2 linked regions of the Tamandua tetradactyla genome follow. The protein of the gene in region 2 binds, or shares a complex with, the protein of the main gene of each other region. Links are inferred from orthologs where the notes say so. Each region holds a gene or a part of one and is shown on either strand. Other genes may lie near its edges. The genes, in order: YWHAB and PEAK3.

Region 1 (11,384 bases), on a different chromosome or scaffold from region 2:
GGGTTCATCAGTCCACCCTTCCACTCAGGCCCCTGGCCTTCTACGAGTGGGCTGATAACATGACACACCCAAGTGCTTACCAGCCAGATGGGTGGTGCTCCCAGCGATCTGGTTCCTGAAACTGTCCCAGATCCGTCGCCGCTCCGGCGGTGATGAGCGCCCCAGCCGGGGAGGCCGGGATTCCGAAAGACGGGGAAATCCCCAGTGCTGGTACTGGATTCCGTCGGGTCTCTGGTCCAGGCGACGTCGCCGCCGTGGGCGAGGGAGGTGATAATGTCACCAGCTCTCGGTCCAGGATGTGCCCTCAGAAATGTTGCGCGAATACCGAAGGAATTAGGACCAAGGCACCGGAGCTTCAGGAAGCAAGATTTTATTCGTCCGTGCACACAGGGCCCAGCCGAGTCACCTCGAAAGTCTGAGCCCCAAACAAAAGGTCACAAAACCTTTTATAGTCAGGATGACGTTATTAAAGACAAGGTACGAAGTGGTGGGGTTGGAAGAAAACGACTGGCTGATTTAAATTGGGAAAGACTTGAGGTTGGGTTTACAGAAGTGGATGAGCGGTTAGGGGAGGGGTTTCTCCACAGGAATTTATCTTGCCTTGTCCACGTGTAATTTTACCGGTTCTTGGGGCAAACTTCCTGTTTACGTGTAGTTCCAACCGTTCAGAGGAATTTGAGGAATTCTTAACCAGGAGGTAGACTGCTTGGTTGTGCAAGGAGGGGTGAGGGCCTGCTGACTATAAGGGTCTACCTACTACATTAAGAATTGGCTTTTAGCACACACATTGCTAGTTTTTATTTCCTCCTTAAGTATTTCCCTCCTAAAATTCCCTTTGAATCCAGTTCCAACTGCTCATTTTTCTATCATGACAAACAGAGGACTTCTAGAATCATATTCCAGTAAAAAGCAAAATGGTTTAAAGCTTGGAAGGTACTATTACATCACTATAATTCCTTGACTCTTAGCAAGCATGAATTGCCACTTACCCTAAAAATTGAAGGAAACAAGGAACTTACAGTACTTTAATAGTAAATTTTAAGTTCATTCTTTAAACTATCCCCATTTAAAGGAAAAGGGCTTAGTTTCATGCCACAGAAAAAGTAAGTAGCATAACAGAATGTTATAATTTAGAACTTACTCTCTACTTACGTAGACATTCTCTTATCTCTTCCAACAAAATATGGAAAATCTAAAAATCTACAGAGAAAGCACTATGACAAAAATTAATGCTGGTTCTGACCAAATTCCATTAGGTGAAAAACCTAGGAATGGGTAAGTTAAACAGTGTGCCACAACATAACCAATGAACTTTCTCCCTAGTATAAAGCAAATACTAGAAAAACTGGATTTTTCACCAGGTTACTTTCTGATGTACACCAGCAGTATTCTGCAATCGCTACAGGCTAGAATGGCTGTATTTCCCTTCCAATAAATTACATTATATCTATGTACAAAAACAGTTAAAATTCCTGTTCAAACACATTTACTTTAATAGAATACATATAAAGAAAAAAATAAGGATTAAATGGTATTCACAGGGAAGGGATACATGTGTTGCTCCACCAGGGATGCTTAGAACAAACCCAGACTGCCTGGGTTTGATTCCTGGCTCTAGCACTTACCAGCTGTGTGAATAGGGGAAAATTATTTAACTTCTCCGTGCCTCAGTTTCCCTATCTGTAAAATGGGGTCAACAGTATTTAACTACTGTTGGCTGCTTTGAAAAACTGAGTTAATATATGTAAAGTGCTTACAACAAAGCTTGGCACATAGGAAGTGATTTAAGTGGTAGCTATTATTATCACAAACTAATTGTCTTATACTTATTGGCTGGTGAATAAATCACAAATGGATGGATTCTATACATCTATTCAAGTGTTCATGAATATGGTCAAATAACATTTACTAAATACCTGCTATATGCCAGAAGCTTATTAGAGTTTGTCACAACATCCCCTAAAGACTGTGTTACCATTCCCATTGTACAGATGAGAAAATGGACTCAGAATGACTACAGATAATATACACCAAGTAAAATTCTTTAATAATATATCAATTTTTAAAAGAAACATACGTGCAAATCAGAGTTGGATCTTGGAATGCAAATAGCATAAGAAGCCATTAACAGTGAATTCTAATTAAAAAAACAACAAAATGGAAAGCTTATATTTAACAATTTACAGTTTGCAAAAAGATTTCAGGACAATTCTGGAGATAGGGAAACTAAAAAACAGAAATTAAATAACATACTAAGATAAGGCATGTTATTCAGTAAGACCTGACTCAAATTTATCTGACTCTAGGTTGAGTGCTTTTTCTGCTTCTGTATCTGCACAGCCAAATGGACAAAATGTACTTTTTGCAGTGGCTCAAATCTTTGGAGACTGCCTAGGGAACTAGCATCACGGGAATTTGCTCAGCCTAGTTTTATGGAGACTGCCTCCAGATCTATACAGCTCCAATTCTAAAATGGCTCCAACATAACACAAGCAATGCACGATGGGAAATATACTGAAAATTATAGGGTAGGAGTCATACTCCAAGGGCTGACAGTCCATAAATATTTGCTAGTGCTGAAAGAGGATATTCAATCTAAAAACTAGGTGTGTGGTCTAGGTCAAATCACCTCATTTCTCATGAAGACTTCATCTATAAGGCAGGTGAATGGTTTCTTATCTCATTGAAGGAAAAGGCTAGGAAAATAATTCAGCAGTTGCTACTAGATTATTGGCCCTCCATTTTGAAGGCTAAACTTAAATTCTAGCTTAAGCCCAATAAAACTGACAGATTTTACCCTCATCATCATGCGAGCTACTAAGGGCATGGATTCAAGAAAAATGAGGGGCCCAGACTACCAAGATGTCTCAAACAGGAAAGGGGGTGCACTGGAAAACAGTCAAGAAGAAACTCAGTATGAGTCAAGTAAAATTTATACATAGAAATTTCCAGCAGGAAAATGCAAAAGGCTGAGTAGCCACATGTCCAATTCTATAAACTACATATGTGTGTGGTTTCAAGAACCGAGACAGAATGAGAAGTGATGACAATTTTCATATTCTTACAAGTCCTTCACCTTTTTGTTTTGGCTCCTACGGCTGTCTGACTCTATATGTTCAAAAAGCATCTTGCCAAATTCCATCTCCCATATCAGACAAGTAAAATCAAGGTCTGATGCTTTCTAGCCTTACCAAAAAGAAATGCAGTGAGGGCAAGGATAAGAGACATACATTTTTAAAGAAGGCTGGCAACCTGTCTTACCAATGCTGACACCTTTGAAAACCCCATTACACGAGCGATCTCCATTTGCAAAAGACACATCTGTCAAAAATGTACTCATCATTTCTAAAGAAATGTCATCTTCTATAAAAAAAAGGAGGGGGGCCAAATCACTCCCACAGTTTCCCAGCCATCAGGGTAGCCACCAGGCAAATTACAGACCAAAAAACGTGCTAACATACAGTATGGGGGAATTTGGGGCGAGGACACAAAAGAATCTGTGATTAAATGATAGTAAATACCGTGGGGAAAAAACTCTGATTCTCAGTCCCTGATATTTTTTCCTGGGGATCCAACCTGATTCAGTAACCGGCTCCAATAAATGCCATTTTTTTAATTCAAACCTCAACCCTGTGCTTCCCAGGAAATGTAGGATCCCGCCAGGCCCCATAATCAGTGAAAGATGATGAAATGGCTTTACTGCAAAATGGAGCGGGGGTGGGGGTGGGGGGGGTTACGTCTTCCTGTCTCCCAAGGTTAAACCCCTTACTCACCCAGAGGAAATCAAGCAGGGCACTGGAGCTCAACAACCCTCCCGCATTTGGTTAAATTTTAATTTACGGAAACCAGAAAGCGAGGAGAGGGATAACAGGGTTGAAAGGACCAGTTTTCTCCGCCCAAGGCGCGGGGTGAGGTCGTGAGAAGATCGAAATTTGGGAGGGTCAGCCTTCCCTTCCGGCCCGGTGATGAGCCGCACCCCGCCCGCCGGGCAGGGCCGCAGGCAGCGAGGGAGGCCCCGGCCTCCAGAAGAGGGAAAGGGCCCAGCCCCGGAAACAGGGAGGGGCCGAAGAGAAGCAGGACCGCGCCGCAGGCGGCCGCGAGGGGCTGAGGAGGCCCCGCGCCGCTGCCCCCGGGGCCCACCCGCGGACCTCCAGAGCCGCCGGCGGAGGGGAGTCTCGGGCTAAGGCCCCGGGGGCCTAAGGAGGGCCCGCGCCGCACTCACCGTGGAGGGCTGCAGGAGGCAAAAGCGCTAACGAGCGAAGCCCCGAGAGCTGTGGCCGCTTCCTTCCCAAGCCTGCTCCTCGGGCGGCGGCGGCAGTGTCGGTGGCGGCGGCGGCGGCGGCTACCCGGGGTGGGAATCGGCGGCGGCAGTGGCGGCAGCTCCACTTCCGCTCCGGTCACCACTTCCGCTTTGGCCCAAGCCCCGCCCCACCCCTGCGCCGTTTCCTCATTGGGCAACGGGGACACGGGGCTGCCCCGGCAGCCCGAGAGGGGCGCTGATGGAGCGAGGAGGAAGAAGAGGCCAAGTCAGGGTTGCAACCGGGTGGGGAGGGCGGAGGGCCCGGGGTGGATGCTAGGAGGAGGCGGCGGTGGGGAAAGGAGCGGAAATGAAGACGCGAGCGGGAAGAGGAGGTGGGAGGGGACAGGGCGGAGCTGGGGGCGATGGTCAAGAAATGAACCTGAGGGAACAAGAAACACTGGGAGAGGAGTTTGGGGTGGGATGGGACGTGGACCTGAGGGCGAGGGTTGTCCTGCCGCGGAAGGCCTAGAGATTCCGAGGGTCATCGGTTCCCACCCCATCCCAAGAGTAATACTCACGGGATCGGGGACTTAAGTCCATCCCCTCATGCTGTGTGCTTTGGGAGACACGCCTGAGGGAAGGACAGAAATTGCTCATCTCTAAGTTTTCACTTAGTCTTCCCTTCAACCCTTTAAGGTTCATATTATTTCTTCATTTCGAAGACCAAAGAAGCCACGTGTAGCGCCATTCGAACCCGTGAAGGTCATTTTAAGAGGCTTATGTGCATGATGTCTTCACTATGTACTTCCCGAGGCTCACAGAGGAAGCTTCTGGGAAGGAAACAGGCCTCCCATGTTCCCTCATCCCCATGACAGCTCTCACCATTAATGCTCTGTGATAGCTGACTCGTCAACCCATTTCTTCACAATGCCCCTCACTTCTGCTCCCTATCCCTCTCATTCATGCTTTTAAAAAATATTTATTGAGCACCTACTATATTCCCAGGCTTTGCACTTAGTGCAGGGGACCCAACAAAGAACAACACAGACAAGGTCTTGTTGTCTTGAAGTTTACAGTCTGGTAGGAGAAAGGAAAAAGTAAGGAGGCCTTCATCATCTCTTCTTTCTCCTTACTGAAATACAGCATAAGACTATTTCTGTCCTCGGGAAACATGCAGTCTGGTGGTGAGTTGGACATCCATCAGCTATTAAACACCGTAGTGTTTAGCTTTATGTAATCTTTTTAAAATTCTGCCTTGAACTGGTGAGGCATTCCTGGTGGAATTTAAGGCTCAATATCATCTCTTTCAGAAAGTCTTTTCTGCTCTCTACCAACACCCCAAGTCTGGGTTAGGTGCACTTCACCTAGATTCCTATAATACCCTGCACATATTTTTCTATGATTGCAATGGTCACCCTGTCTTTTATTATCTCTTTTTGTGTCTATCAGATAATATGCTTTAAATTGCAAATAACAGGAACCTGTCATAAGGTGACTCAAACTTTAAGGAAATTTACTGTTTCACATAACAGAAAGTTCAGAAAGAGTGTAGCCATTAGATTGGTCATTTCATACATTCATCAATGTCATCTAGGACCCAGATTCTTTCTATCTCTCTTCTCTGCTGTCATCATCAGGGTATTAACAAAATGGCAGCAGCATTTCTGGGTTTCACATTCATACATGATAATGTCCAAAGACAGAAGAGACACTTTTCATATAGTCCTCTCTCTTTGGAGCTATTTCAGTTTCTTTGGCCACTCAAGCAAATACCTTTCAGTGAGTTGACCTAAAAAGTGGGAATTCATTGGCTCATGGTTTTGAGGCTAGATGTCCAAAGCAAGGCATCATCAAGGTGATTCTTTTCCTAGCATCGTGGGAACCGGGCTGGCTGCCAGTGATCCTTGGTCCTGCACTTCTCTGTTACATGGCAGTGCATATGGCGGCCTCTCCGGTTCCCCTTCTCTTTCAGCTTCTACTGATGTTCAGCTTCTGGCTGTTCCCTCTGTGGCTTTCTCTCTTAACTCTATGAATTTCATTGTTTATAAAGGAATCCAGTAATCAGATTAAGACCTGTTCCAATTGAGTTGGGCCACACCTTAATAGAAGTAATTTTATCAAAGGGTCTACTTACAATGGGCTCATACCCACAGGAATGGATTAAGTTTATGGACATGTTTTTCTGAGGTACAAATCTCCAAACCATCACAGGAGCAAAGAGACTTCCCAAAACTTTCTTCCCCATTCTCCAGACCAGTATGTTTCTCTTCACATATTTTTAATTGGAATAAACTCACAAACCCATCCCAAAACCAAACCCTGGCAAGGAAAATGGCATTGCCCTTGTACCATTAAGTGCCCTTACATCCCCCTAGAGCTGTAAGTGGAGGATGGGGTAAGCATGGAGAAAAGGTAAATAAATAAACAAATTTGAGGTTCTGCTAGGACTTAAGAAGGGTGTAATGGAGCAACCAGTAGTGTGTGCTAGAATGTCTGTATCACAATAGGAGGCGAGTTCCCCACTGGGAAGACAATTTTGAACTCATCTCTGTATTTCTAGTCCAGATGCATTTGTTAAAAAAAATAAGTGAAGTCAAAGAAACAAAGACAGAGCAATGTAGAAAAGAGAGCCCTCTGCTCAGGAGATTTTGGAAAGCAAGGAGCACTGAAGATCCTCTCAAATGTCTAGGCTAAGGGTCAGCAAACTTTTTCCATAAATGGCCAGATAATAAATAATTTAGGCTTTGTGGGCAGTATGGTCTCTGTTGCAACAACTCAACTCTGCCACCATAGCTCAAAAACAGTCACAAATCATACATAAACAGATGGGTATAGCTGTGTTCCAATAAAACTTTATTTACAAAAGGAATAGGGTAGGATTTGGACTGCGGGCTGCTGTTTGCTGACACCTGGCCTAGACTGCAGAGATAGTGAAAGGAGCTATTCGATGCAACCCATCAGCAGACAGCCAAGGATGCTTTGTAAAAGTCACGTCTGTTCCCTCAAGACACTGATGATGTCAATTGTGGTGTAATCAGCTTGAGCCATCTGGACTACTAGGCTATTTTCTGGATGTGGGCATGAGGCACAGTCATGTTACATTAGAGCTTAGAGACTGCAGCAGTCTGATTTACCCGTCTTTGGTCTGCCAAAGTATGGTCCCCATGGGGAAGGTTTTGCACCAGGAAATCTTTCCAGGGTTCAAATCCAGTGGTTTTGATTACAAATCCACAACACTTCCTCTCAATCTTGTTCAAGTTAAATGGCGATATAGAACAGTGTTCAAACCCTGTGGTTTATTCAGCACAGGGGCCACTGACACAAATGCCTGTAAGACAGATAACATAAGTGAGGAAAGCAGGCCCAGGTCCAAAGGGGGCCCTGGCACTTTGGAAAGCCCACAGCCAATGGAGACGGAGAAGCCACTCCTTGGCTCCAGCCAATTATTGCCACACAGATATTTCTTGCCAGGCAAGGCAGAAATGTAGATTTCTATGTGAAATCTGTTTTTTTTTAATGTTGACAACAAACTCAACCTCTTTAGAACTATTGAACATGGCATGTTGGGAGAATAAGGAGTCATCTAACTGAACTGAGGTATTTATGACAGAGAAACAGGAGATAAAGGCTGATAGTTAAGGACAGCTTCTGGAGAACCTTGAGTGTCACACTAAGGAAATTTACCTATTGTCTTTTAGGTCTGCGCAATCACCAAAGGATTTAAGCCAGGAATGAACAGATTAGAACAATTTAAAAAGATCACTTTGGCAGTTAATGGGGGCAGGACTGAGGGTCTATCAAGCACTGGGCTTGGTACAGAGGATGCTCAATGAATGTTTACTGAATGAGTGAAGGCTAGGGAAGCACTGTCTGCCCCTCTGAAAAACTGCCAGCTGTAATTATCAGTTCCCCAAATTGAAATACCGTCCTCCCATCTTGTGAGGCAAATGATCATGGTAATAGTATGAGAATTTGAGGGAAAGTGGGAATTGAACCCACCCCAAGTGAGGCTTCATATAAGGCAGTCCTGCCGCTTTCATTCAACACCGCAGGTGGGGCTGGACAGTAGGCTCAAAGTCTAATGCCAGGCTGGTTCGGGGTTCAGAAACTGGATTCTCTTTATCTATGTACTATGGGCCAGAGAACAACTTAGTACCAATAATAATAATAATAATAATCTATTTTTTAATTAAATCACTATACTTTATAGATTCTAAAGTATATACATTCTCATATTTTGCTATCTCTGAAATTGTGATGTGTTTTCCTGTCAATGAAATATCCTAGTTTGATTGGCAGCATTTCCCTTTCCCACTCACGCTCTTAGGGATACATAAAAAATAATGCCTCTTAAAATCAATGGCATCTTCGAAAATGAAGTATAGTAAATTCTTATTTTTATCAAAGTAGAACATATACATAGTTTAAGTCAAGTAGGTCTCTTTTTCTTGTGAAAAAAGGTGGGCCCCCTGGTCCACTGTTCCCCTGATGAGGGGGACAGAGCAATTATTTTCAATTCCTTTAGCTGTTTCTTCTGCTACTTTCCTCCAACTTCTAAATAACATGCACATAGAGCTACTTCTTTATAAGTAAACAAATAGCTTTTAGATTTTCAATTTTGGATATTATTTATTCACTTCTTACTGTGGACTAGAAGATTTTACTCTCTAAAGTCACTCTGTTAAACATATACCACTCTATCATTCTCCTGATATAGTCATTTATATCATATTATACTATATTATATTACTATACTGTACATATTGTATTTTGTAGTATTTTCTTGCTTGAAATGTGTTTTGTGTTTTGTTTGTCTGTTTCCTCTGGAGTTAACAATTGCCTTAAACATGAAATTTCATTCGCATTAAAGCTAAGACACACACAGTCAAAAGAGAAAGTTCTACATGACTTGTTATGTTAAAAAAAAAAATTCCCCACCCTCCTCCCCACATTCTGCTTCTCTAAACAACCACTTTCTGCAATTTATCCCAAAATAACAAACTCAACTGCAATTCCTTTACTTTCTTACTTTCAGCATTATCTATAGGGACGCCGCAATGGTATATGAAGATTAGTTCTCTCTGTCACACATTCCACACGGCAACACCCTCCAAATCCAGCAGGTGAATGCTTACTTTCTGCCCCCCTCCACATGCACCTTTTGAAAATAATTATGGGATAATTTTAGTTCGATCAATATTTAGTGTTTACGTCTTTGTGACCAGAGAAGCACGAGTGACAGCCTTGCCTGGTAGCGTTCTATGATTGCTTTCCCTTGACTGTACCACTTGTTGTTTTCCCTAGGAGTAATCAAGCTTTTGTTTATTGTTTCCTTGCTCAGTTTTCTATACTCTTTTTTTATTATTAATTTCATTTTTTTTAAATACCAAAAAACACCAAACAAACATACACATGCGTAACTTTTGATCATTCTGTTCTACCTATATAATCAGTAATTCACAATATCATCACATAATTGTGTATTCATCATCATGATCATTTCTTGGAACATTTGCATCTATTCAGAAAAATAAATAAAAAGAAAACAGAAAAAAATTCATACATACCATGCCCCCACCCCTCCCCCTCACCGATCACCAGCATTTCACTCTAAATTCATTTTAACATTTGTTCCCCTTATTATTCATCTTTATTCCCTATGTTTTACTCGTCTGTTGATCAGGTAGCTAAAAGGAGCATCAGACACAAGGTTTTCACAATCACAGAGTCACATTGTGAAAGCTGTATCATTGTTCAGTCATCATCAAGAAACATGGCTACTGGAACACAGCTCCATATTTTCAGGCAGTTCCCTCCAGCCTCTCCATTACATCTTGACTAACAAGGTGATATCTACTTAATGCATAACAGTAACCTCCAGGATAACCTCTCGACTCTGTTTGGAATCTCTCAGCCATTGACTCTTTATTTTGTCTCATTAGTTTTCTATATTCTTGACACTAATTACCCACGGAACACTAGCTTCCCATTGCTGCTAGAACAGATGACCACTAATGCGGCAGCTTAAAAAAATAATAAACCATTTGTGATCACACAGCTCTGCAGGTGAGAAGTCGGAATACAGTGTGTTTCAGCTGTGTCTCCCACTCAGCATCTCACAAGGATGGGCTTCCTTTTCTGGAGGTGCTGGGGATGAATCCACGTCCAGTGTCATCGAGGTAGTTGGCTGCCAAGGGACAGAGGCCCCTGTTTCCTTGTAGTCTTTGCTCCTAAGGCTGCCTGTATTCCTTCACGCTTCACCCCCGTCCCCAAGTCCTCTTACACTTCACATCTCTTCAGTTTCCCCTCCTGCAGGAACTGTCTTGCTTCCTCTTTTGCCACACCTCTCTCATTCAGCTGGAGAAAGTTCTCTGCTTTCAAAGGCTCTTATGAGTAGATTGGGCCCATCCAAATAATCCAGGATAATCTTTTTCTTTTGAGGTCTGTAACCTCAATTACATCAGCAAAGTACCTGTTGCCACATAACGTATGTAACAGTCTCAGGTTCCAGTAATTAGAGCTTGGACATCTCCTGGAGCTGTCTGCATGGTTCTGATTTGGCCTGGCTGCCCTCTAGGCCTGGACCACTATTTTGGGGTTCCCTTTTGTCATGGTCAAGTTCATGTGTCAACTTGCCCAAGTGGTGGTACCTGTTTGTCTGGTTGGGCAAGTGCTGGCCTGTCTGTTGCAAGGAGGACATTTCACAGAATTAGATCATGATCACATCAGCTGCATCCACAGCTGATTCCATTTGTAATCAGCCAAGGGGAGTGTCTTCTGCAATGAGTGATGCTTAATCTAATCATGGGAAGCCTTTTAAGGAGGATTCAGAAGAGACAGGCTCTCTTCCTGCCTCGGCTGGCAAGTCTCTCCTGTGCGGTTCGTCCAGACCCTCCACTGGAGTCATTGGCTTCACAGCCTGCCCTGCAGATTTTGAATCTGTGTTCCCGCGGTCATGTGAGACACTTTTATACATTTTATATTTGCAAGTGTTCCCTGCTGATTGTGTTTCTCTAGAGAACCGTAACTAATACACCTTTCATCACCATCCTGGGATTCCCTTCGTCTTTCAGATTGGAGGGCCCTTTATCTGGACCTGGCATCTTCTCTCTCTTGGCTTGTTCTCTTTGTGTGTGACATCGTT
Region 2 (12,139 bases):
AGGGCTGGGCAGTAACCTGCAGCAGGTGAGTGTTTCTAACAGCGTCATCTGGTACTTGCCTGCCACAGGATAATCGGCTGAATGTCACAGAGGAACTAACGTCTAATGCCAAGACGAGGATTCTCACCGTCCAGTCCAGGCTGGCAGATGGCAAACAGGTCACTTGGAGAGTCGTGCTGAGCAGCAGCTGCCTCTACATCGAGATCCCAGGGGGTGCTCTGCCTGAGGGGAGCAAGGACAGGTGAGCGGGTATGAGGGCAGGTGCAGGGTTGCACAGCCAGAGGCAGGTCTGTTCCCAGGGAACACTGGGCGGTGTCTGGGGACGCTTGATTTTCATAAAACCTGGCATCAAGTGGGGGGAGCCCAGGGGTGCTGCTCACCACCTCTCAGTGCTCAGAACACCCCCACCCCAGAGAGCTGCCCACCCTGATGTCAGCAGGACAGAGGTGGGGAGACCCTGCCTCAGAACCTGGGCAGTGAGGTGGGGCCGGGCCTGGCCTGACCTGGCTGGCCGGCCCTCAGCTTTGCAGTTCTGCTCGAGTTTGCCGAGGAGCAGCTCCATGTTGACCACGTCTTTATTTGCTTCCACAAGAACCGAGATGACAGAGGTAGATGACTTGGGCCCATGATGAGCAGACCTGCAGTGGGGAGGGGGCCCCCGCAGAGGACATGGGGTGGGCTCTGTTCAGACTCCCGAGGGGCAGTGCAAGGGCTGGGAGACCCCCAGGCCCTACCCGCTCAGCCAGCCTCTTGCTCCTCCCCTCACCCTGTACCCCGATCCCATTCCCCTTCTGCTCGGAGCCCTGGGTCCTCGTAGGCCCCACCTGGCAGGCTCTGACGCCTGTTTCCCCCACAGCCGCCCTGCTCCGCACCTTCAGCTTTTTGGGCTTTGAGATTGTGAGACCCGGGCATCCCCTTGTCCCCAAGAGACCCGACGCTTGCTTCATGGCCTACACGTTTGAGAGGGACTCCTCGGCTGAGGAGGAGTAGTGTCGGCATGCGTCCCCAGAGCTTCGCTGCTGCCTGGGGGAGTCTGGTGCCGGCCTCCCTTAATGCTGCGCTCTGGGGAGACGCGATGGGCCACGGCTGTGCTGGCGGGAGGTGGCACGGCAGACTCTTCCGGGCTTGTCCGCATGATGTAATTGTGCAAATAAACGCTCACTCCAAATTAGCAGTATATTTCTTGAAGTTTAATATTGTGTTTGTGATACTGAAGTATTTGCTTTAATTCTAAATAAAAATTTATATTTTACTTTTTTATTGCTGGTTTAAGATGATTAAGATTATCCTTGTACTTTGAAGGAGGAGTTTTCTTATTTGAAGTATTTTGGAAATAGTCTTAGGCCTAAGGTCTCTTACCTTGGAAAGACAGGTGTTAACCTACCCTTCTGCTCTCAAATCAGAATAAAAGCGATTGCACCTCGAGACCTGTGCTGCCTCAGTCCTGCGCGTTCCCTTTCTGAGCTTCTGTCTTTGTGGGGTGGCCCTTGTGGGAACCAAAGTGGGTGGTAAAGGGGTGGGGGCTCCCTGTGCTATTGCTGGTAGGATCTTCAAAGATTCTCTTGGGGCCCTGGACAGGAAGGGTGTAGGATCCGCCCTGGACTGCTGGCTATTTCTGGGTCCCGGTGCCACCTGGCCACCTCTATCCACAGCTGCCTTCCTACCGTCTGCCCAGGTGGGGCCTGCGAGACAGACCCAGGACCACTTGGTGTAGGTAGGAGGCTCATACCTCTCCAGCCACTCGCCTTCCTGCTGTCCAGAGTGAACTTGGTCTGCCCGGCTGTGCCCTCTTCCTGGTGGTCCTTGGTGAGGTTATCTCTGAGGTCTACCAGGGGTGGAGCTGGGAGTGAGGCTGTAGGGTTTGAGGTGGAGGGGGGGCTTTGTGCAGAAAGCACCCTGGAGCTGGAGCCTGTGTGCCCCAGCAGGGGGTGGGGCACAATATAGGTGGCCCTGCCTGGAAGGCCCTGAGGGTGAGTGAGAGTTTAAGGCCAAAGACCAGACCTAGGGCTGGAACATAGGGGCAGCCCTGGAACAAACGCCCCAGGACTGCTTCAGTCACTGCACTTTGCTGGGAAACGGGCAGGAGAGGAAAGGGGCTTGGTGGGATTAAGGCACCAGGGGAGGTAACAGACAGATGGGTCAGGCTTCAAAGGTCTGGGGAGATAGAGTTTTATAGAGATGCCCCCAGTCCCTGTTGGCAAAGGAAGGATCAAGAAGAGCATTGGCACTGGGACACCAAAGGATGAATAGAAGTCTGAAGCAAAGGAATTGGTGGATGCTGGTGTAGTTTCCCACGGAAGAAACAACTTGGGCAAAGGCCTGGATTCAGAATGTACCATGTGGTGGGAGGTTGTCCAAGGAGAGCTAGCAAGGCCTTTGAAGGAGCCCTGTGTGTATTCTGAGGGTGCTAGGGAGCCATGGGAGGTATCTGAACAGAAGAGGGGCCTGGTCATATCGGAGTTAGAAAGGTCCCAAGGGGACAGTGGGGTTGGCGTGGTGGTTGAATGGAGGGGGATTGTGGATCCTGGATGCCAGGGCAGAGGCCTAGGCAAGAGCAGACAGGCCTCTTGGAACTCCTGTGCACCCTTTTCGAAGGGGTAAAGCTACATCCGTGTCTCTCCCTCAGGTCCTTGATGCGTCTGGTCTGTGCCTGTTCATTCCACCATCCTATACTATTTAAGCACCTACTGTATGCCAGGCCCAGAGCCTGTTCTCAGGGCTCACAGCCTGCTGGACAGGGTGGATAGTAGGTGAACAGATAAAGAGACGAATAAATACTTGCAGGTGGTCTTTGGGGGAAATAAAGCAAGGTGAGGGGCTAGAGAAGGGCCCTGGAGGGGCAATTTTATTGGATTAAAGGAATTCTCTAACGAGGTAGGGTTTGAACAGTCTGGCCAAGAGAACTGCCTGTGCAAAGGCTCAGAGGCTGGAAAGAATTGCACATGTCATGGAGGAAAGCAAGGAGGCCCGGGTGAGTGGAGAGAGTGGGGGAGGGGCAGGACTTGTGAACCCAGGGGAGATCTTGAGACAGGGGAGTTTAGACTTCATGGTGGGCTGTCTGGGCAGAATGTGGCTGGCATGGGGTTTGAGGAACCTGCCCCTGGAGACAGTTCCTAACGAGGGATTGGGTTGGTCTAAACCTGCAGAGTCACTCATTGGCTGTGATCAGCATGAGGAGGTCCTCCAGAGCCAGGTGGGCCTTGGACCCCGGCATTGGAAGAAGGGCTTCCAGAAGCCATTGAAACAGTGATCTTCAGATATCAGAGCTGGAAGGGGGCCCTGGCTTCTTCTGGACGGGGAGGGTTCTCCCCCACCACCACCACCACACACAGACATCGGAAGAGGGGCTAGAGGCCCTGGCATGAGAAGGGCACTGTACACACCCCATCAGGGGGCATAGGGCTCCAAGGAGCACACATGGGGCAACTGGGCCATCAGGCCTGCAAGACTGGTGGCCAAGGGTGTGGCAGGGCCGGGCAGCACACAGAGCAGGTGCTTCCAGTGCCTGGAAGCACCTGCACTCTTAGGGGGGCCTTAGTTCTATGTCTCTGGCCAAGGATGAAGCAGGTATTGGAGGGGAGGCGTCCAGACTCCAGGAGACACTGACCAGACCCCAGCCCTCTTAGCCAGTCTTGGCTGCCAGAAGGCACTGCTCTATGGTGGAGACACTGGAAAGCAGTAATTGCCTCTTGGGCAGGCCCTGAGCCCCGTTGAGTGTTAGGATGGCCGTGTGGGCCCTTGGGTAGGGTTAGTCCCACAGCAGGGCCAGGGCACGGCCCAGGGAGGCCTCGGTGGCCTCGGCCAGGTACTCGCAGGCCAGCCAGTCCTCCAGGCCTGGCGCCTGGCCGCCTGCTGCCCGCTCAGCCAGGTGCAGGACCAGCAGCGCGCGGCGCACCTGCAGCCAGGACCCGAGCGACACCCCGCGGCCGCGCAGCTCAGGCCCGGGCCCCCAAAGCAGCTCCTGCAGTGCGCCCCGCATCCGGGCCGCCGAGGGGCGCGCACGGGGCAGCTGGGCCGCCAGGCGCTCGAGGCCCGCGGCCAAGGGCGTGGCCGGGGGCGTGGCGGGGCCGAGCAGCGCGCGGAGCAGGCGGCCCAGCTGCGGCGCGTGGGGGCCCGGAGGCCCCGGGGGCCGGGGTCGGACGCGGCCAAAGTCGGCGAGCAGCAGGCGCTGGGGCCCGCCGCCCGTGCAGCCCCTAGGCGCCGCCAGCAGTAGGTTCTCCAGCCGCAGCTCTGCCAGGGCTGCTCCCCGCGCCTCCAGGCGCTCCAGAGCTGCGCTTAATTGCAGCAGCAGCAGGGCCGCGGGCCGGGCGAACCCCGCGGGTCGCCGTGCACCGACCTCTGCCAGCCACTGGGCCACGGTGCGCTCGGGCACCTCGGCCGTTAACACCACCGGGCCCCTCCAGGGCGCAGCGGGCAGTGTGCCCTCAGGCAGCAGGCCGCAGAGACCCTGCAGGTTGAAGTGGGGGGCTAGGGAGGCCTGCAGCTCCATGCCCCATGGGTCCGGGGCCTCTGCTTCGGGCTTGGGCACCTGAGGGACAGAGGGGAGCATTAGGACCTAGCCCAGAAGCCCCCCAGAGCTCAGTTTATCCCACCTCCTCTACCTGCCCTGACATTTCTCCTGCTTGCCATTGCACCCTGCTCCCCACTACAGCTTTGGGGAACCTACATCTCCTCCTGAAGGAGGGGGTAAACGGGAAGCCAGATGTTAGTTGCTAAGGAAGATTGGATCTGAAAGGACAGTGGTTAGATTAGGGGGTCACAGTTTCCTGCTTGCCCCCCTGGTCAGTCTCCTCAATTCCCAAAGAGGGGATGTCAGATAGGGTAGCACAGCTGGGCTGTCCAATAGAAATGTCCAGCGGGCCACACATGGGACTTACAATTTTCCAGTGGCCATGTTAAAATCAAAAGGTGAAAAGAAACGGGTGTTAATAATATATTTTATTTCACCCAGTTTATCCAAAATAGTGCCAACATGGAATCAAAATAAAATTTATTAATGAGATGGTTTACTTTATTTATTTATTATTTATTTGTGATACCAACTCTTCAAGAGCTGGTATATATCGGGCATTTAGCACATCTCAATCTAGACTATGGCTGTATTTTTAACGATCCACAGTCATGAATGGTCAGGGGCTGCGTTACTGGACAGCAAAGCTCTAGAAGGTTTGGGACGTATCAGCTCTGGGGATTACATGAGAATCATCTGGTGGTGGTGGGGACATGGCTGAACATGGATGTTTAAAGAATAATTGTCCCAAAATGCCTCTGGCATGGAGCTAGGGTGGAGAACCATCGTTTGATGTTGAGCTGGCAATAACTCATGACAATGCCTATTGTCGAATTGAGGCAGTTGTCCCCAAATTGTTATCCATCTTACAGGTGATGATATTTTAAAGAGGAATAATTTTCTTTTTCTTGGATGTCCACATAGAAGGAGCATCTTATGAAATACATCATAAAGTAGCTGTGTGGATTAAATTTTAGAGATTAAATGGCTCTAAAATCCCTTAGAATAGAGCAAATCACAAAGGCAGTGCTTAATACATGTTTGCACTTATAAAGTGCAGCTGTCAGCCAGCTATCGCTGGTGAACTCTGTGGCCTTCTAACTTGGAGAATTCATCTGGGGAGTGAATTAAAATGCAGATTCCTGGGCCCCTGAGATGTGCTGGGGTGGGGAACTCCCAGGTGATTCCAACATAGGTGACTCCACCTTTTACAAACTTGGTAGCAACTGCTGATTGTCAATGCAAGTGTTAATTGTCAATGCAAATGTTAGCCGCAAATTAAGCAATGAAACCCAGGCTGAACATTCCCGCCCCCCCCCCCCCCCCGCTTATGCCTCAAATGGAAAATGGAGGAAACCCCAGAGAAGGGTCTTACGGGAGGGGGAAGGGGCGCATGGCCTGGGCTCACCTTGGCGGCCAGGATGTGCCAGGCCTCGCCGTCCACGCGCACCACGCGGTAGTAGAGGGCGTCCCCGCCGTCGGTGCACGGCGAGCTGTCCAGGAGGCGGAAGCTGTGGCCCGGGCGGCAGGGCCCGGGGCGACCCCCCATGAAGCGGGCAAGGAGCCGGGTGTGGATGGCACGGACACCCTCCAGGTGCCGGGCGGCGAGCGCCGCGTGCGCGGCCTCGGGACTCCGCAGCTCGCGGAGGAAGTGACCCAGCTCGGGGTCGGGCGTGCTGAAGGTCAGCTCTGCGGAGGGACCGGCGCGGCCGGCTTGGTCGCCGCCGGCCTGGCTCTCGTCCACACTGTGGGACTCCAGCAGAGGCCTCCGAGGCTGCCCTGCCCGTGCGGGGCTGGGAAAGGGGGTCTTGTGGGTGGGCAGGGAGTGGGCGCGGGCCAGGGTCTTCTTGGGTAGGGGCGGGGGCAGGAGATGCGGGTCGCTCGAGAGGGACCCGGGGGTCCGGGGGCGGCAGGCCTTGGAGGGCAGCAGGTGGGCACGGACCTCGCCTGTCCGGGGAGAGATTTGGGGGTTGAGGGCGTCCAAGACGTGGGACCCAGGGCTCCTGACCCCGCCCCTCAGCCTCGATTTCCCCACCTCTAAAAATGAGTGGGGGGCGGGGTGTCATCCCGGATTTACAGATGAGGAGGGGACCAGTCAGGGCCAGAGAGGACTCCTGACCCCACCAGGTGGACCTCATTTTCCTGCGAGGCTCTGGGCACGGGACTGGGCCTCTTTGAACCCCCAGTTTCCTCATTTTTGCCAGCAGGGTAATCCCAGAAACCCTGGGGCCAGGCCCCTCCCCACCCACCTCTTCCCTCCCCGCCCAGGTCCCGCCCTCCACCATCAGCCCCGCCCCCAGGTCCCGCCCCTCACCAGCCCCCCCCATCCCCGCCCCCTCACCAGCCCCGCCCTCCCAGTCTGGCCCCGCCCCCGGCCGCTCACCGAGGTTGCTGTAAGTGGGCTGCCCTGGCCTGGAGGGGTCACCTGGCCCCGGGGTCTCAGCGGGCGGCTCGGGGCTGCTCATGCTACCGAGGGAAGGTCAGAGTGAGCGCCACACCGGGGCAGGAGGGTACAGGTCTGGGCCTGGGAGCCAGGAGCCCGGGAGTGCTGGTGCCCCCCGGGGAGGGTCTGCCCCTCCTCAGGGGGACCCCGACTCTGGCTCCTCTCACCCGGTGCTTCTGCTGAGCGACCCGGGTGGGTGTCTTGCCCTCTCTGGGCCCATTTTCTCCTCCCTGAGATAAGAATGTCACCTGCACATTTGGGAATAGCCAGTCCAGAGGACGGGGGTGGGGGGCAATTGGGGCTGGGAGATGCTACGCAGGGACCCTCTCTGGGACTTCAACTCAGAGCTCAGCCGCCCAAGGCACCGAGAGGTGATATGAGAAGCCAGCCCTCCTCCCCCACTCCGTGTCACCCCAAGCTCCAAAATCTTCTGCCCATTCCCTGCCCCAGTCCCCCCTCCAGGAGGCCCCTACCTTCAGGGCTGGTGTCTGAAGTAGGTCCTGAGTGACTGTGGTGGGGGGAGGTGGGGGGAGGGGACCGTTGGGACCAGCTCACAGTAGCTGCAGCCCCTGGCTTCCCGGGTGTTTCTGATCTAGAACTGGCAGAGAACAGGAAATGTCCAGCAACAGTTAGACCGCAGGCCCGGGGCTGCCGGCAGCACTTCCCCACCTCCCAGGGGGCCCCACACACCCTGCCTGCCATCCAAGGACAGGGTGGACCTGGAATCCATTCTGGGCAGAAGGAAGACTGACCCCAAAGCAATAAACTCCAGGGCTGGTGGCAGGGTGGGGAGCCTCGAAGGGGAGCTGGGAGCCCTGTGAGGCTGGGGAGTGAGATACATTTGACTTTCCCATCTTAGGTGAGGGCGGGGGGCCACAGCAGTGAAATGCAACCAGTGAAATGCAACCCGGGAGGCTCTTTTCTCTGGTGACCCCCTGAGAAGCCCCCAGCACACGGCCCCGCCCCTCCCAGAGCCCTCAGACTGTCAGAATCAGTTCTGTTCCGATTTGCTGTGTGACCTTGGCCAAGTCGCCACCAACCCCTGCCTCTCTGTGCCCCAGTGCAAAAGAAAGTTTCCCACTCACTGGTTCATGAACAGCCGCTTTAGCTGGAGTAAAATAAAAGATTAATCAACTCACTCACTTTCCTCCCCACCCCTTAAATGAATTTTTTTTCTTAAGTTGTGGTAGTGTGTGTATGTGTGTGTTTGTGTGTATGTGTCATACAATTTGCCATTTGAATCCCTCTTTTTTATTTTTATATATTTATTTTGGGGGGTGGGTGCATGGTCTGGGAATCGAAGCCGCTTCTCCTACATGTAAGGCAAATATTCTACCACTGAACCACCCGTGTACCCTTTTTTATTTTTTAAAGCAGTTTCAGGTTTACAGAAAGATTTTGTAGAACGTACAAAGCTCCTATGTACCACCCACACCCAGTTTTCCCTGTTATTAATTTCTTTAAAAAATATTTTTATTTAAGAAAACACTAGAACCACCAAAAAATGGATATCTTAGTGAGCTTAACCGTAGGCAGATTTAAATAAAGCATCCATACGATCATTGTAAAACCTGTGTTTGCACAGTATATTTCATAAACCAATTTACCCCTGTTATTAATCGTTTGCATTCATGTGGCACCTTTGTTACAATTGATGAACCAATATTATTATGATTATATTATTTACTAAAGTCCACACTTTACATTAGGGTTCGCTCCTGCATTGTACAGTTCCGTGGATTTGGGGTTTAATTTTCATTGCGCCGACAGATACAACATCAAATTTCCCATTTGGAGCATCTGTAAGTGTACACCTCGGTGGCGTTAGCCACACTCACAATGTGGTGTCACCATCACCGCCACCCATTACCGAAACGGTTTCATCATCCCAACAGTGACTCTGCACCCGTGAAGTGTTAACTCCACACCCATGCCCCGCCCCCCAGCCCCTGGTAACTTGGAATCTACGTTCTATCTCTAGAAATTTGCCCCATCTATGTGTTTCTTAGTGGAATCATTGCATTTATTAAAAAAAAAAAAAAGACACTCTATGTGGAACTGTCATAAGTGGAAAACTACAAACAGTGAAAATCCAGTGCGCACAGGCTGAAAACCTCCCCATGGGAGGCCCTCGGCCAGGACCCCGGAGTAGGCCCATGAAGGCAAATAGTTTGTGTGAGTTTCCTGCTGGGGGTCCTCATTCTGTTTCTCTTTGGGGAGAGGTCCAGAGAAGGCAGGAAATACCCCGGGACCCCCTTAATTGACCTTGCAAAGGATCCCCGAGCTTGTTCTCCTCGGTCCCCAAGCCACAGCCCATGGGTGGGAACAGTGTCGGTGACCAGGAAGGAAGGGAGGGGACAAGTAAATATATGCGGCTTGGAGAATCATCTGGAAAGGGGCTGACTGAGAGAGAAGGGGGCTGGGGAGTGAGAGGGAAAGGTGGGGGTCGCTTGCAGGGCAGGAGAACTGGGGCCAGCCCACCCAGCACCCCAGCCTCATCTGGGAGGGGAAATTGAAGCGAAGAGGTTCAGGACCCCCCACCTGTCTTTTGGGGGACCCTTTGAGGGGTCCCCTCCTGGGGTTTTCAGCCACCGATCTTCTAGATCCACCCTAGTGGGACCTTGGCTGCTGAATGCCACCCCGCCACAACCCAGGCGGGGAAGTTACTACCCACAGCGCCTGGAAGAGCCTTTGCTGCAGGAGGGAAGGTGGAAATGAGATTTCATGGGGTCCCATCCCCAGAACCCCCCAGGCTTCTTTGAAGTCAGGCATGGAGGCGCCACCTCGTAGCCTCTGATGCTTAATTTACGTCTCTGTTCTGCTTTAGTCTCCCACAGGGCGGGGAGAGAAAGGAGCCTGCTTCCCATGTTCAAAGGGGAAACTGAGGCCCAGAGAGGGTCGTGTTGGTGGCACAAAGGTCCCGAGAGGGGCTGCACTTGGCCGTGGCTTTAGTTGAACCCCTTCCAGAAAGAGTGTAGCCTTCTCCCTCTATACCAGGGGCCAATGAGGTTTGAGCCCTGCCTCCAGCTGGGAGGATCCGCTCTGCCTCAATTTCCCCCACCTGTCATGGGACTCCCCGCCATAAGAGGTGAGACTTTCCCCTGCGCCCCTGCCAGCCCCAAATGAGGAAGTTGCCCTCCCTCCAGGAGGCACAAAGGAGGGAGCTGTGCTCACTTCTCCTTTCTTCCCTGCCTGGGCTCTGCCCCTGGTCTGGGTTTGGGGAGTTTCCCTGACAGCCCAGCTCTGCTTCAGGCACTCCCACCCCCAGGGCTGGGAGACTATGGGAAAATCCCCTCCATACCCCCACTCTCCCTCTGCTCCTCTGTAAAACCGGATTGTAACAGGACCCAGCTCTTGGGCTGATGGTCAGCATGAAGGGAAGTTACTACCCACAGCACCTGGAACAGTGCTGGGAACAGAGTGGGCGCTCCTGACATGTGGCCACTAGCATTTTCCCCACCTGTTAATCTCATTCCACAAACACCCTGGGACTCAGGGTCAGCTCTGGGGCTGGGGGCAGGCAGCTGTCCTGACCCCAGCCTCCCCTTATCCCCCAGCCTTGCCTCCTGCTCCTCCTCGTCCCACAGGAATTAAAGAATCTGACGTTAGTTATCAGATTGATTTCATTTTTTATTGGATTCCAACCATGTACAGCAGGAGGGTGGTAGGAGACTGGGAGAAGAGGGGCTGGGAAATCCAAATTCGCTGACACTCTGTAAACCCTAAAGCTGCTGAGAATGCACCCCCAACCCGTCTTTGATGATGCTAAAGGCACTTTGGATGTCATTTGTGTGTGTCTGTGTTTTATTTGGAGGGGGGGGCGGGGTCCCTTGGGGTTGTCATGGCAACTTAAGACAAGAGGATGTTAAGGGAGAAAAAAAAAAAGAGAGATCTGCCAAAATCAGGGTAGAGTTTAGGGTTGCAGGGTGTCCCTCTCGCCCTTTGTGATATCCTGCCAGGTGTGGGGTCGGGGGCAGGGGTTCCACCCTAGCTGGGAGACCTGGGCACGGGGATCAGATGCTGTGTGAATGTGCCCCGCAGCATGGCACTCGGTCCCGCTGGCCTGTCTATGCTGTGGGGGCAGGGCCAATGGTCCCAGCCACAGCCTGAGTGGCAACAGGCTGGTGTCCCCTTCTGAGGTCAGTTTGAATCTTTTGTTCAAAGCCTCCAGAATTGATCCGGCTTTCTTTCTGGCTCATCTCAGGAGGGCCTTCAGGGATCCAGGATTCAGGAGATGGGCTGGCCTCTGTGCATGAGGCAATGGGCACCCTCAGATCCTTTCACAGATGACAACACCAAGGGTCTGAGTGGACCTGTTACCAGCGAGGTCATCCAACCGGGTGGGAGCGGAACTGGCTTTGAGCCTTCCTACAAAATCCATGAGGACACTGAGGACATACATTTCCTGAGCCCCTTCCCCTGACAATGCCTAATCATTGTCTGACTGAGATGAGGTGGGTGTAGGCACTGGGCTTGGAGAGGCTGGGTCATGGGGGTCCCTGTCTGGTATCTGAATTCTGCAAAATCCCTGCTCCTGCTTGGTTACTGCCAGTGACAAGGAGCTCACCATCTGCAGAGCATTGACCTTGGAAAGTTCTTTAATTTGAGCCACAATCTGCCCATGAAGTCCACTTTTGGCCCTAGCTCATCCGCCCCCTCTGAAATCACAGAGGCTAAGATCCCTCTGTCACTTCCTGCCCAGAACCTGGGTCCAGGCTCCCTGTGGCCTACACCTTTTCCCTGGCTTTGGTCCCCATCGCTGCCCCATGCTAGTGAATGTAACAGAAGCCCTGGAAGCCCCTGCCCTCTCTGGTCCTGTTCCCTGCATGAGCACTGGCCTGGGCACACTAGCCCCCGGGGCTCTGTCCAGGGCCAGCTTCATTAGGTCAGTAGGTGCCCAGGGTTGGAGGTCACTGCAGCTGGCCTGTTTCAGAGGGATAGCCCATGAGAAATCCTCATCAGCCGTCCCAAGAGTGGAAGCAAGTGGCATCTGGAAGGGAGGTAGAGGCCACTAAGGGGGAATGGCTTCTCCCAGCCGGCCAGTGGGGGCCTGGTGTGGGGGAGTCTGGGGGCCGTGGACAAGAGCAAGCAGGAAGGGAGCTGGGGCAGGTGTGTGCTGGGCCCCTCGGGGTGGGCCTGACCTGCTCAGCAAGACCTGAGGCTGGGCCTCAGGGTCCCACCAGGGG

The links.
Region 1: the proteins of PEAK3 (region 2) and YWHAB are in contact, whole or in part, in a cryo-EM structure (PDB 8DP5), measured with the Homo sapiens proteins. The link is inferred for Tamandua tetradactyla from reciprocal best matches to the Homo sapiens genes PEAK3 and YWHAB. Residues at the interface, in NP_940934.1 of Homo sapiens: Arg66, Thr67, Gln68, Ser69, Leu70, Pro71, Thr72, Arg73; in NP_003395.1 of Homo sapiens: Val48, Lys51, Asn52, Arg58, Lys122, Arg129, Tyr130, Gly171, Leu174, Asn175, Val178, Glu182, Ile219, Leu222, Asn226, Leu229, Trp230.

What each region holds. Positions count from the first base shown.
Region 1 is NC_135327.1:7,318,214-7,329,597, forward strand, and holds the start of YWHAB (14-3-3 protein beta/alpha), read right to left. Parts: upstream 4,388-11,384; 5' UTR 4,223-4,387; intron 3,931-4,222; exon of another isoform or gene 3,774-3,930; intron 1-3,773. UniProt on the Homo sapiens protein: Adapter protein implicated in the regulation of a large spectrum of both general and specialized signaling pathways. Binds to a large number of partners, usually by recognition of a phosphoserine or phosphothreonine motif.
Region 2 is NC_135337.1:80,581,523-80,593,661, reverse strand, and holds PEAK3 (protein PEAK3), read right to left. Parts: upstream 6,976-12,139; coding exon 6,894-6,975; intron 6,458-6,893; coding exon 5,919-6,457; intron 4,529-5,918; coding exon 3,749-4,528; 3' UTR 2,759-3,748; downstream 1-2,758.